Neurospora crassa OR74A: one gene and its partner. The protein of the gene in region 1 purifies or fractionates together with the protein of each later gene. This does not show direct contact. Links are inferred from orthologs where the notes say so. Each region holds a gene or a part of one and is shown in the gene's direction. Other genes may lie near its edges.

Region 1 (6,366 bases):
CTTTGTGGCTTCAAGCCGATTTCGAGCATAGCTCAACGCAGGGTGGATGCCGGTCTGGTATTGCGCGTCAAACGAACAGGCGACAAGGGCTTATCGTACTTGTTCGGCGAATAGCTGAGCAAAAGGTCGGAAGTGGTATCGGAGGGTGACTCGACATCAATCTCAAACCTGAGAGGAGATGCCTTATTGGCGTGACGCCTCGGACGGACGGGTGAAAGGGGCTTATCGTACTTGTTTGGCGAATAGCTGAGGAGATCAGAGTGAGGATTCACGGCCGATGTGACCGGAACCTCGAAGCTCAGAAGATCAAGAACATCAGGCGTAGCAACGCCTTGGTTGGTGATATCCTTGAATACACCCGTCGTCTGTTGGGAAAAGTACTCCTTCGCTGAGCCAAAATCGGGGCATTGATGCTTCTTCTCCTAGTCGGTGCCACTGCCGGATACACCCCCACGCCAGAGCCCGTAATAGCCGTCACAGTTCTTCCACATCTTGATTGTGCCATCCTCTGACCCAGTTGCATACAAATTGCCGTCGGGAGAGAACGCAATGGACCAGATGGGGCCGTGGTGACCCTTGTGCACATCGATTTCCTGGCCCTCGTCCCAGGTGTAGACGCGAGCCCAAGTACCCGGTTCTTCGCCAACAACAAATTTTCTACCCTTTAGGTCCAGCCCAACACTAGCAATTCCATGGGGAAGCGTGATCCTCTTGAGCTCATCCTCAGCTCGGCTTCCACCCCAAAAATAGGCGGTTTTTCCCGCAGCCACCGCCAGGACAGGCAAACCGCCACCGATATCGGTGGGAGCGCTATGCGAAGGCGCAAGTGAAACCAGCTCGCATGACTTGATCTCGCCTTCCAGTTTCGCCTCACGCACACAACGACGAGAGGGAAGATCGAACCAGCGCAGCGTGTCGCCAGACGCGGTGATGATTACGTTGGGGTCGCGAGCCCAGACGATGAACTTGATGATATCTTTGTGTACCCCTTCGCCAATCTCAAAGGCTTTGGATGCGTCAATTGTGACTGGTTCGGGACTGGTGCCCGATGGTGAAGTAGCCGGCCTCTGATCCGCCAGGTCAAAGATGCGAAGCTTCTTCTCGTATCCGCCAGTTGCCAGCAGTCCGGAGTTTTCGTACGGATAGGCAATGGCGCGGACAATATGGTCATGCTTGAGGACATAGAGCAGTTCGCCGGTGTGGGTGTCCCAGATCTTGGCACTGAAGTCCGCAGACGAGGTGGCAGCGGTCGATGCATCAGGGCTGAGCCTTGCTTGCCATGTAGCTCCCTTGTGCCCTAGAAAGGTGCCGATCCAATCACCAGTCTGGCCGTCGCGGAGCATTGGGTTGCCATCTGTAGTGAAGAGCCACGTCAGTAACCGTCGTCATGTATGGTTGTTGGCTAACCCGTAAAAGACCCATGGGTACCTTTGCAAGAAGAGATCATGTAGTAGGAATCTTCCTTTTCAAGTGGGGAGAAGCTCAAGTGGGTGACAGGCCGCGAGTGGCCATGGCAGGTCAAAGGGACTGTCTGGCGGCGCGCGGGTTCGGTCATCGTGGATCGTGATGTAGTGATATGTAAGGACTGAAGCAGGCTACAAGAAGCCTGAACGGCGGTCGTCCCTTGAAGAGAAATAGAGGCAGTAAGTCCCGTCGATTAGTGAGGAGTATGCGTGGAGAGGCGGCCTAGAGTATCGAAGAAAACGCTGGTGATGACGCCGTGTATGATGAGCAAAGCCAGGAGGGGCAGGTCTATCGTCAGTTTCGCAACGAAGTCGAGTCGAAGAGTCGGACAAAGGAATGGAAAGCGTAACGGTCGTGAAGAGGGAGAGCCCAAAATCGTCGTATTTAACCGGAAAAGAAATGGAGAGATGATGCCAGAGTGGTGATCATGTCTCTAGGTCGTGGCGCCGTCAAGAGTAGGTAATTAAGAGGAGAAAGAATGGGTTTGGCGTTTGCTCTGGCTGCAACGGGGCGATGCACTGGTGGCACCTGGTTGCCGTTTAGGGTGTCCCCTCCGTCACAGGTGCCCCTTGCGGAGTCTCCATGTAGGGACTACATAGACCTATCCGCTGGAAGTGGGTGCCACCGGCAGGCAGGGGGCAACGCGGATGCTATCAGATCGATGACAGTCCCAGGTTCTATCGCCATTTCAAGACCAGGAAGGTGTTTATCCGAATAAGTATCCGATATCAAGGCAACTATCTGCACTATAATGTACTATGGTGTTGTTTCCAAGTACTCGTAACTTGCAGGGTTTAGGGTATGTGAATAGCTGTGATGATAAGTCAACGTCTGGAACCTGAGCTTGTAAGTCGAGGCGTACACAACCTATCGTCAACCTTTACAATACCTGAAGACGGGATTTTGACACCTCCAAACTACAATGATAGGGCAAATAGTCTAAACGAAAGTGACGTGATTGCAGTCCGGCGAGGCTCAGTCACCTGAACTAATGTACATAGCAAAAGGGCATGGGAAGGATTGACTGACCAGACGAACCTCTCCTGTCCGTACTATCAACCTCACCCCCCGGGCCCCAGTGGCTCAAGCTCCCCCGCCTCCTGCCAGGTGCAGTGCGTCAACAGGATGGGAACCTAACACAGGCAACGTTCAACGACCCGACAGTGATGCCCCGCCAACCGCCCCTGCCGGTATCGATACGGGCGGTGGTATCCGCAACTCCAGTTCGTCATCTGTCAGGTTCGCAGGGAGGAAGCTGAGGACCGCTCCTGCCATCGGAACTTCGACCCAATTCCCATTCCTTCTATTTTCCCAACATCAGTATACCCTCGGTTTCCTTACAAATCAAGCGCATCCTTTTCTCTTCCATTTTACGTGCTAGTTCACCCTCAACGTGCTCGAGCACCGAACCACGACTTATATTGCCCTTCTGAGACCCGTGTACGCCGGCGTTGTCCCGTTGTCGACTGAAGGAGCACGCTCGCCGCCCCGACTGAGCCCCGCCCCCGTCTCTAACCCATCATTATCGGCCGAGGTCCCAACAACAACGACAACAAAGATGGTGCAGGAGTTCAAGCTCTCAGCCCAACTAAAGGGCCACGAATCTGATGTCAGTACGGCGATTAAGAGACCCGTCATTCAAAGCTAACACGTGCGTCACCCAGGTTCGGGCAGTTAGCTTTCCAGCAGCCAACGTCGTCCTCTCTGCCTCCCGAGACCACACTGTTCGACTTTGGCGCAAGGCGACAAGCCAGTCGCCCTTCGACGACACTATCGTTAGCCAAGGTCACGGCTACATCAACTCTCTCACCTTCATCCCACCCACTGGCGAATACCCCGACGGCCTGGTTGTTTCAGGCGGCGCTGAGCCCATCATCGAGGTCAAGAAGCCGAATGCGACACCTGATATCAATGCCGAGCGACTCCTAGTTGGACATGGCCACAATGTGTGCACACTCGACGTCTCGCCCGACGGAAAATGGCTTGTTTCTGGCAGCTGGGATGGCAAAGCGATCGTTTGGAATACTGCTACTTGGGAGATGGCCCATGTGCTCGTCCATAACATGGACAACAGAGGTGTCTGGACAGTCCTCGCATACGACGCGGATACCATTATTACCGGTAGCGCCGATAACAACGTACGGGTATTCCGACTAAAAGGCGCTACGGGCCTCGAAATCGAAGCTTCACGCACCCTCAGTACCGGTGATGTTGTGCGCGCATTATGCAAGCTTCCCTCAGGCCTGAAGGGGCACCCCAGCGGTGCTGATTTCGCCAGTGCCGGTAATGATAACGTCATCCGGCTATGGAAGTTGTCAGGAAAAGAGGTGGGAAAGCTTCAGGGCCACGACAGCTTCATCTACTCACTTGCCGCCCTACCCACCGGCGAAATTGTCAGTTCTGGAGAAGACCGCACTCTGAGAATCTGGAGGGGCTCCGAATGCATCCAGACTATTACACACCCTGCCATCTCGGTGTGGACTGTGGCCGTCTGTCCCGAAAATGGCGACATTGTGTCCGGTGCCAGCGACAATATGGTCCGTGTCTTTACCCGGAGCGCTGATCGGACAGCGGACACCCAAACCATCGCCCAGTTCGAAGAGTCTGTCCGAAGCTCGGCAATCCCACAGCAGCAGGTCGGCTCTAATATCAACAAGGAGAAGCTTGATACCAAGGATTGGATGCAAACCAATTCCGGGACCAAGGATGGCCAGATCAAGATGATTAGGGAGGAGGATGGCACCATTGGCGCCTACCAATGGTCCATGGGTGAGTGCAACTAGCCCGCCCTTAGTCTGTGAATCAAGCTAACATGTTACGCAGGTCAACAACAGTGGATTCACGTCGGAACAGTCGTCGATTCTGCTGGTAGCAGTGGCAAAAAGGTGTCGTACAATGGCCAAGAGTACGATTACGTCTTTGACGTGGATATTGAGGATGGCAAGCCACCACTGAAGCTCCCTTACAACCTGTCGCAGAATCCGTACGACGCGGCCACCAAGTTCCTTGGTGATAATGAACTGCCGATCTCGTATCTCGACAATGTCGCCAACTTCATCACACAGAATACTCAGGGTGCCACCCTAGGACAGGCCAATGAGGCCCCCTCGAGCGACCCTTACGGTACCGACTCTAGGTACATACCTGGCCAGGACAGTCAACCTGCGAAGCCTAAATACTTGCCGCATACCGAGTTCCTCAGTTTGACCAGCGGCAAACTTGAGCCGGCCCTTGCTAGACTCAAGACGCTCAACACCAAGCACATTCAGGCCGGGAACAAGCATATCGCGATGAACCCCGATAATGTTGAGATTCTTGAGGAGCTTGTCAAGCAGCTGCTTCAGCCAGCTTCTGCTGCCGGAAAGTTGGCCAACTTGGACGCATCAAAACCCATTCTCCTCACACTCGTCACTCAGTGGCCGTACGCGGACAGGCTGCCAGCGCTCGATATTCTTCGTTGCCTCGCCGCCTGGCCTGCTGCGGCTTCCATCACAGACGACCGCTATGGCGACATCATCGACATTGCGGTCAGGGGAGCACTTGACGTGGAGGACACTGTAACTGCAGACGGCTCACTGAGCGACTTTATCGCCAACAAGCTTGACGCAACAAAAGCAAATGCTAACAGCGTCATGATGGCTCTTCGTACCATTCTCAACCTTTTCAAGCTTGACGATGGCCGGAAGCTCGTAGCCAGCAAGGCCGGTGTTATTTTGTCCTTTATGGGACACATTGTTGGTCTCGACGGGGATAAGGGCGTGATTGGCGCCGAGAACAACAATTTCCAGATTGCCCTGACTTCGGCGGCCTTCAACTTTGCTTGCCTATTTTACAGAGACAGGAAGTTGGATGCGAACTTGGACGAAATTGCGCTTCTCATCATGATTGTTGAGGCAACTGTGCGTAAGCAGAAGGATCCTGAAGTCCTGTTCCGCGCTCTAATGGCGCTCGGCATGGTTCTTTCTATTGGCCCACAGCCGGTAGCGGAGGCGAAGAAGCAGGGAGTTGATGCTTGGTTGACTCCGGTGATCGGGCAGACTCGGGAGCAGCGCCTCAAGGACGTTATTCAGGAGTGTCTCTCGTATATTCGGGCGTGAGGATGTCGGAAAGGAGTGAATGCCTGGATCTGATATCAATATAGTAAGGGGTGTTGAGATGGAGGGATTATTTGACGGCGGTCAATGCAGTTACCATCTAGCACCAGTGAGCCTAGCCGGCGTAGAGCTGAGCACGTTCAGTAGATACAGATGATCTTGAACTCTGACCACTTGGTCATGGGTTGTGCGCTAATACGTGCTTATCGTCTCGCCGCGTATATGACGGTTGCAGTAGGTATCTTTCGATGACATGTTCGAGTAGGCGCCCGGCTGTTTGCCGAACCGATCATCTGATGTGATCAAACGGTGCAGTGAGCGGATGAGACGAAGAGTTGAGTGAAATCTGTGATGATGGTACCTACCTATTTCAGTTTTGTCAAAACCATGGTCAATGCATAAACCCAGAAACAATGTCATTGTCAAGTGATTGTGGTCAAGTGGAAGGCTTTTGCGTCAAGCAACAAACAGTACACTCGGGAAACGTTCACTAAGACACCAGTAGTTCATACCAACCGGGTTCAGTATTTGTTCATTTCATAGTCGCGAGAATAGCAGAGGATGAAAGAGGAAAGAGGTACATACAAATCGACAGAATAAAGAACTGAAAACGCGCGCCTGCCGTCGCCCGCGCTAGGGAATCTTGTAACAAAAAAATGGTTCCAATCCACCTTTCCTTTCCTGCTTCCCAGATAAACGCCTAGTGGACAAATCGATCCGTCCTCCAAATAATCGATACCTTGCTTCTCGTTGTTGTCGTTGGCGCCTAATAGCCACACAGACAACCTCAAGGTTGTTATCTCCTCGC
Region 2 (6,021 bases), on another chromosome or scaffold:
ATCCGTTTGTATCATACAACGAATCGAATCAAAGTCGAAGCGTGGGGTAGCAGGAAAGGGCATAGTAGGGACGAATGACGACCAGCTGCTGAGGAGTTCCCAGCATGGTGATAAGGCTTTTGATTCTCTCGTCGCTTGGAACCGGGGGTATACTATCACACACAATCGTACAAAACCTAACCATGATGATCATACGAAGGCTGCAACCCTAGACCACTCCCCCTCCCCTCCGCCCACCGGCCTGAACTCAACCGCCTCCTTGAAGTATCCCGCATCCTGCCATGCCTTCATGGTGGGCCCGTCATACGGCCCTTGGCTTCCTCCTCCGTCTCTCCCATCTGTCCACCTAAACTCCCACATTTTGGGTTGTCCGTTTAGTGACGATGGCTGCTCTTCCTCCTTTTCAGGAACAGTAGGCTCCACCCAGGTCTCGCCCGTCTCTGCTCTATACTCTCTCACCAACCACTCCCTCTCCTTATCGTAAATATCCGGATAATCCCTTCCCAACAACTTATCCGCCGCCTCAGTAATGGCATCAATCGCCTCCCTGATCTTTTTCTGCTTCGGATCCTCCACTTCCTCCTTCTTGTCATCCACGTCCATCGAATCGATGCCCTGTTTCCTTTCCTGCCTCTTTTGCTTCCACTTGGGCACCTTCTTGGGCCCCTTGGTTTGATCTTTTCCAAGTCTTGCCAGCGCCTCCAGCGCCGTCTCCCCTTTTTCGAGCGTCAGGATCAAGTTTCTAAGCAAGTCCCCAGTGGCGATCTTGTCATCTTCCCTCTCCTGCGCGCGCCTTTCCGCCTCGCGCTTCTCGTGCGCCAACGCCGCTTTTTTGATTTCCTTTTTGGACAAGCCTTCCAGCCACTTATCGTGCACGGCATTTTGGTCGGCCGCTTTGCGGATGTAGTTGCCCGCCTCGTCAAAGGCACCCTCTTCATTCTCGGCTTGCATGTTGAAGGCGTCAATCTTGGGCGCATGTTTCTTCAGTCCGCCTAGGCCGACCTCTTCGTCTACTCCCTCTTCGGCGATGGCGGCTGCTATGGCTTCTTCGTCGTCGTCGTCTTCGTCTTCGTCGTCCGATTCGGCTGAGGCGGCGGGGTTGATGTTGATGGTTCCGCCAGCTTTGGAAGAGAGGTCTTGCCCTTCGATTTCCGAGTCGGCGAGGAAGTGGACGGATTTTTTGTCCTTCGCAGAGCCACCACCGGCTGTCGTTGGTTGAGCACCGTCGTCGTCTTCCAAATCGCCAAACATGTCTACCTCGTCATCTTCATCGGCATCTTTCCCTGCCCCGTTGGAAGGCTTGTTGTAATTATCCATCATCTCGGCCAGATCCACGTCCTCGGCGTCTTTGCCCTTCTTGCGGCTCTTCCCTCGGGCTTCCGCGCGGTCTTCCAGGTTGTCATTGTCGGAATCGGAATCGTACCCATCGATGTTGACCGCGCCGCGCTTGGTGGCTCGGGAAAGCCCACCGATCACGTCGGCGGCAAGAACCTCCTCGTCAGCTTCGTCGAGGTCGTCATCGTGCGCTGAGGGCGCGAGCGCGGAGGGGTTGCGCACGTCGAACTTGACTTTTTTGTGGGACGGCCCGCTGGAGGTGTCGTCGTCGTCGTTGGAGCGCGATTCGCCGTGGTGGGCGCGGGCGTAAGCTTCGCTGGCGCGTTTGGGGCGCGCGGCGGAGAAGCGGGAGGACATGGTGGTGGCTGTTGTCTTCAATCTCGTGTGTTGGTGTGTAGGCGTTGACGTCAGCGTGTAAAGGTTATGTCGTCTTGATAGAATGGCCTATTCTGCCCCTGTATCGCAGACTTTGTGTAGATATGGCCTGAAATGATGACTGTTTTGCCTGGGTCGACGGCGAATGACAACTCTACAAGTAGAGGATGGTGTTTAAGAGAGGATCTAGATGGCGAATTGGGAATATCAAGGAAGAACATCACTAGAGGTACCTTACCCGTTGTCAGCCCCAACGGATAACATGGAGCTCTCCACTGCCATCAAGGTCCAGAGCGTTCTGCAGTGGACAGGCAGCGCTCAAGGTACCTTTGACCTAAGCGTTTAAGAAGGGGGGGAGCTCGCGCCACGGCAGCACGGTTTCACAGATCTGACGCCACGGCGGCACCTTCTCACCCCGCCAATCCGGGCCGCCGAGGCGGCAGATACATAGAGGTAGGTACTGTACGGTACCCATGCCAGGGCTCCAATTATTACCTAACGTGCCTGTAACTTTCGGGCCCAGTTATGTCATCTGCGTTGTTGCCTTTGGAACCTTCCACGCGGTCAGGTTATTTCAACATCGTCGCAACCTCCCTTTCACTATCGCTTGTCACGCTCTGCTGTTCCGGATCCCACTACCTATTCTGCGAAGCTTACCTCGAGATCTCCCCTCTTAATACAAATTCCCTGTCGTTTCCCTTTCTGCAAAATACTTTACTCCATCTCTAGCAGCTCCCTCGCGATCATGGTAAGCTATCCTTGTCCTCACGCTCGATTATCAAGACAGCTTTTCGACCCCTCTATCTCTTGAAACATTCTAACATGTGCCCATGACAGTATGGAGACATCTACAGTCGCGCCACTGGTCGCTCTCGGGGCGCGCAACGCTTCGATGAGTACTACCGCTGCTACCCCCTTGTCATGGCGCCCGGTGCCGAACGACCTGAACTCAACTACGGCTCCAAGATTCTGCTCCCGCCCTCCGCTCTCGACAAGGTTTCGCGACTACACGTCCAATGGCCCATCATGCTAGAGCTTATCAACGGCTCGCAGGGCACCCACACACACGCCGGTGTTCTGGAGTTCGTGGCTGAGGAGGGCAGGGCCTACATCCCGCAGTGGATGATGCAGACCCTCAAGCTCGACGTGGGCGACATGATTCAGATCAAGACGACATCTCTCGAGCTTGCCAGGCTTGTCAAGCTCCAACCGCAATCGGTCAACTTCCTCGACATCAGCGACCCTCGTGCCGTCCTCGAAAAGGCCTTCCGGAACTTTGCGGCGCTGACCAAGGGCGACGTTTTCAACTTTGAGTACAACGATGAGATCTACGAAATGGCGGTACTGGACGTCAAGCCGGAGACGGCCAAGATGGGTGTCTGCATGATCGAGACAGACGTCAGCGTCGATTTTGCGCCGCCAGTTGGCTACGTCGAGCCTTCGCGACAGACACAAGGCAGTGGTACCAGCACACCACGCAACGGAAGGGCTGTTGGCGGAGGACTTCCGGCGGGTGGTCTTTTGCACAACCAGGGAACCATGGCGCAGGCTATCAACTACGATGCCATCGCACCAGGAGCCACCACCACGTCGGTGGGCAACTTTCAAGGTGAGGGTCTGCGGTTGGCGGCGAAGAAGGGTAGCAAGACGGGAACACCGAAGCCGGCGACGCCGGTGGCGGGTACGTCGACCAACGTTAAGGACGTGGTGCTGCCCAGGAGGAAAAACAACAACGGCCCGTTGCCGTTGCGTCTGCCGCCCAACAAGCTCTTCTTGGGCTACGAGATCAAGCCTGTCAAAACTGCCGCAGATAAGGAGAGGGAGGCGGCGGCGGCGAAGCAGCCGCACTTTGCGGGCCAGGGACAGACGCTCCGGGGAGGAGTCCCGAAGAAGAAGAGCAGCGATGGTGACGACAAGGCGGCGCAAGGCGAGAAGAAGCCGACAGAGAGCAAGGGAAGGCGACTTGACGGCAGGAATGTCTAGGGACAAACTTTCGTTCAACAAGCTTGTTACTAGATGGTTTGATGCATTGTCGGGCGTTAATGGGAAACAGGGTCATGGGAAAGGGAGGTTCACAGTCAAGGGATCACGGAACGTTTGTAGCGTCATTACGAATACACATGGACAGGCCACGATGCGTTTCAAGATAGAAAAGGGCTGTATATGGGATGTTGAGTGCTGAACCGCACGATGTTTACATAGGCCCATGCAGCTGACTAGAATTAGTGAAAAAGGAAATGATACCTCGATGTCCTCCTATAGCTGGAACATGCCAAGGTGATGTTCAACAAGGTCCGCTGGCTCAATGGCAGAGCGTCTGACTACGAATCAGGAGGTTCCAGGTTCGACCCCTGGGTGGATCGAGTTATCTTTTCTTTTGCCAGCATAGTATGCTGCGGCGTCACCAATTTATTTAAAAAAAAAAAAAAAAATTTTAAATTTTTTTTTTCTTTTTGTTCTCTTTTTGATCCCTTGAAATGCCGGAATTTGACTTTGGTGCAAGATGGACATGATACAAAGAGTCCCTGGTTTTTTTTCTTTTTTTTCCTCATTGTGGACGGTGCATCGAGAGCGGCTTGGTCCGTCTTGTCTTTATCTTGAGCAGTCGCTTTGTCAGTGTCATGCCAGGAAGGTCCGGAGTTCTGCCTGCATCCACTTCGAGGTCTCTCCTTCCAGAATTTTGCATCCTTAAAGATTAGTCATATGTCAACGATGCTTGGAACGAATATAGTCGACAACATCAACAGCATGACATTGAGTTCTGATGTTAGTTTAGTACCAGCGGTTTTTTGGCTTTTCCCAGTTGCACTTCCAAGAACTCGGTCGGTCGCATCATTTGAGATAAGTCCTTGATTAGCTAATGTGGGTCGTGCAGCAGGCTGGCTGGGTCCCGTGATTGGTTGAAAAGGGACGAAATCGAACGGCATTGTCGGTTTAGCACTTCCGCACAGTGAGCAAGCAAACCCAAAGCGCCTCCCACTTCCAGGGCATTTATTGATTGACTGACAGGGTTGACCACTTCCTGTTCCGGACTGGTTCTGTGCTCACTGCGACCGGACCATTCATCATCAGTCGCAAACCGAAGCCATCTTCCGACTCGCAACCATCCGTCTTCTTTAAACAACACCAAGGCAACAAAACAAACTGACTGCAACCTTGCTGGATGCACCTTGCCATATTCTTTCTTTGCTACTCGTACATATCCACAAACAAACAATCAATTGCAAACAAACCCTTTCGCACCACTCGATGCCGCTTGCTGAACAGCACAGCTAGTAGCCATGTCCAAGGTGGAGGCCCGGCGGGCTTCGGCGCGAAGCCGTACTAGATCATCTGCATTATCGGCGACGGAGGCGTTAGAAGTAGCGGCGGCAGTGGGTGGTGGCCGTAGTCTGCGGCCACGCCGAGCCGGGAGTCAGGGGGGTGGTGCTGTGGGAGCCGCTGTTGGTGTTGCAATCGGCCGCGGTGCGACATCAAATCTGGGCCCAGCGAGCCCACTAAGACGAAGCGCTCGCAGCGGGGATTCAGCAGCAGGGGCAGCCCGGAACAGTGGTGGTGGTGGTCCACGTCGTTCGATCAACGGCCGTAGAGGTGATGACAACAACACCAGCACTACAAATCACAATATTCGCCCGCGTAAGTCGTCCATCAACTATCGTGAAGACTCTTCCGACGATAGCGACAGTGCCTCTACTACGTCTGATGAAAGCGACAGCGAAGAAGAAGAAGAAGATGATGATGACGGAGAACAAGATGCACGGCAACCCGCACGCAGGTCCGCCATATCAAGACGGGGGCGTCCATCTCGGACCGAGCTCAACAATAAGTCACGAGCAGTTGCCTCCTCCGGTCGCCAGGCGCTAGGAAAACGGCGCCGTCCCCGGTCCGGCTTCTTCCATGAAGACACCGACGGAGAAGATGACGACATTGTCAACACCGACCAGGAAAGTCCCCCCACTCCTCGCAGGGGCAGAGCAACGGCCACATCCGTAGCCAGAGCCAGGAAATCGTCAGTTCCACGTACCCCAGAGCGAAAGAGAAGAAGAGACACGCCGGCGACTGCCACTAAGAGACGCACGCCCGCTTCGTTCAGGAAATCTAAATTGGACCTTGTCCACTCTGGCGGTGCCGAAAAAGACACTGCCGAAAAGGAACCCAAAGTCATCCCTCCATGGCAACATCTTCCCTATGAGCTCTGGCTCTTGATTTTCAAGTTTGCATCCGCTGAGCGTGATCGAGATGCTGTCAACCTTCTCTTATCTGCGAGCCGTCTGTGCAGGGAACTTGCGGAACCAGCCCTGACGGCCTTGT

Evidence for each region. The genes of interacting proteins can lie anywhere in the genome.
Region 2: the proteins of NCU00880 (region 1) and NCU06856 purify together in Saccharomyces cerevisiae (affinity purification with western blotting; 3 studies listed by BioGRID, with this or other methods). This does not show direct contact. The link is inferred for Neurospora crassa OR74A from reciprocal best matches to the Saccharomyces cerevisiae genes DOA1 and UFD1.

Annotation. Positions count from the first base shown.
Region 1 is NC_026501.1:6,880,748-6,887,113, reverse strand, and holds NCU00880 (phospholipase A-2-activating protein), read left to right. Parts: upstream 1-2,447; 5' UTR 2,448-3,022; coding exon 3,023-3,073; intron 3,074-3,128; coding exon 3,129-4,233; intron 4,234-4,287; coding exon 4,288-5,561; 3' UTR 5,562-5,828; downstream 5,829-6,366. Other genes in the region: NCU00879 (WD domain-containing protein, variant), read right to left, coding at 423-1,354, 1,429-1,555. UniProt on the Saccharomyces cerevisiae protein: Ubiquitin-binding protein involved in protein ubiquitination, sorting and degradation. Acts as a ubiquitinated substrate-recruiting adapter for chaperone ATPase CDC48 by binding mono- or polyubiquitin chains.
Region 2 is NC_026502.1:1,740,769-1,746,789, reverse strand, and holds NCU06856 (ubiquitin fusion degradation protein), read left to right. Parts: upstream 1-2,237; 5' UTR 2,238-2,455; coding exon 2,456-2,458; intron 2,459-2,547; coding exon 2,548-3,693; 3' UTR 3,694-3,976; downstream 3,977-6,021. Other genes in the region: NCU06855 (hypothetical protein), read right to left, coding at 190-1,692; NCU06857 (hypothetical protein), read left to right, coding at 4,992-6,021. UniProt on the Saccharomyces cerevisiae protein: Functions at a post-ubiquitation step in the ubiquitin fusion degradation (UFD) pathway. Has a role in the endoplasmic reticulum-associated degradation (ERAD) pathway.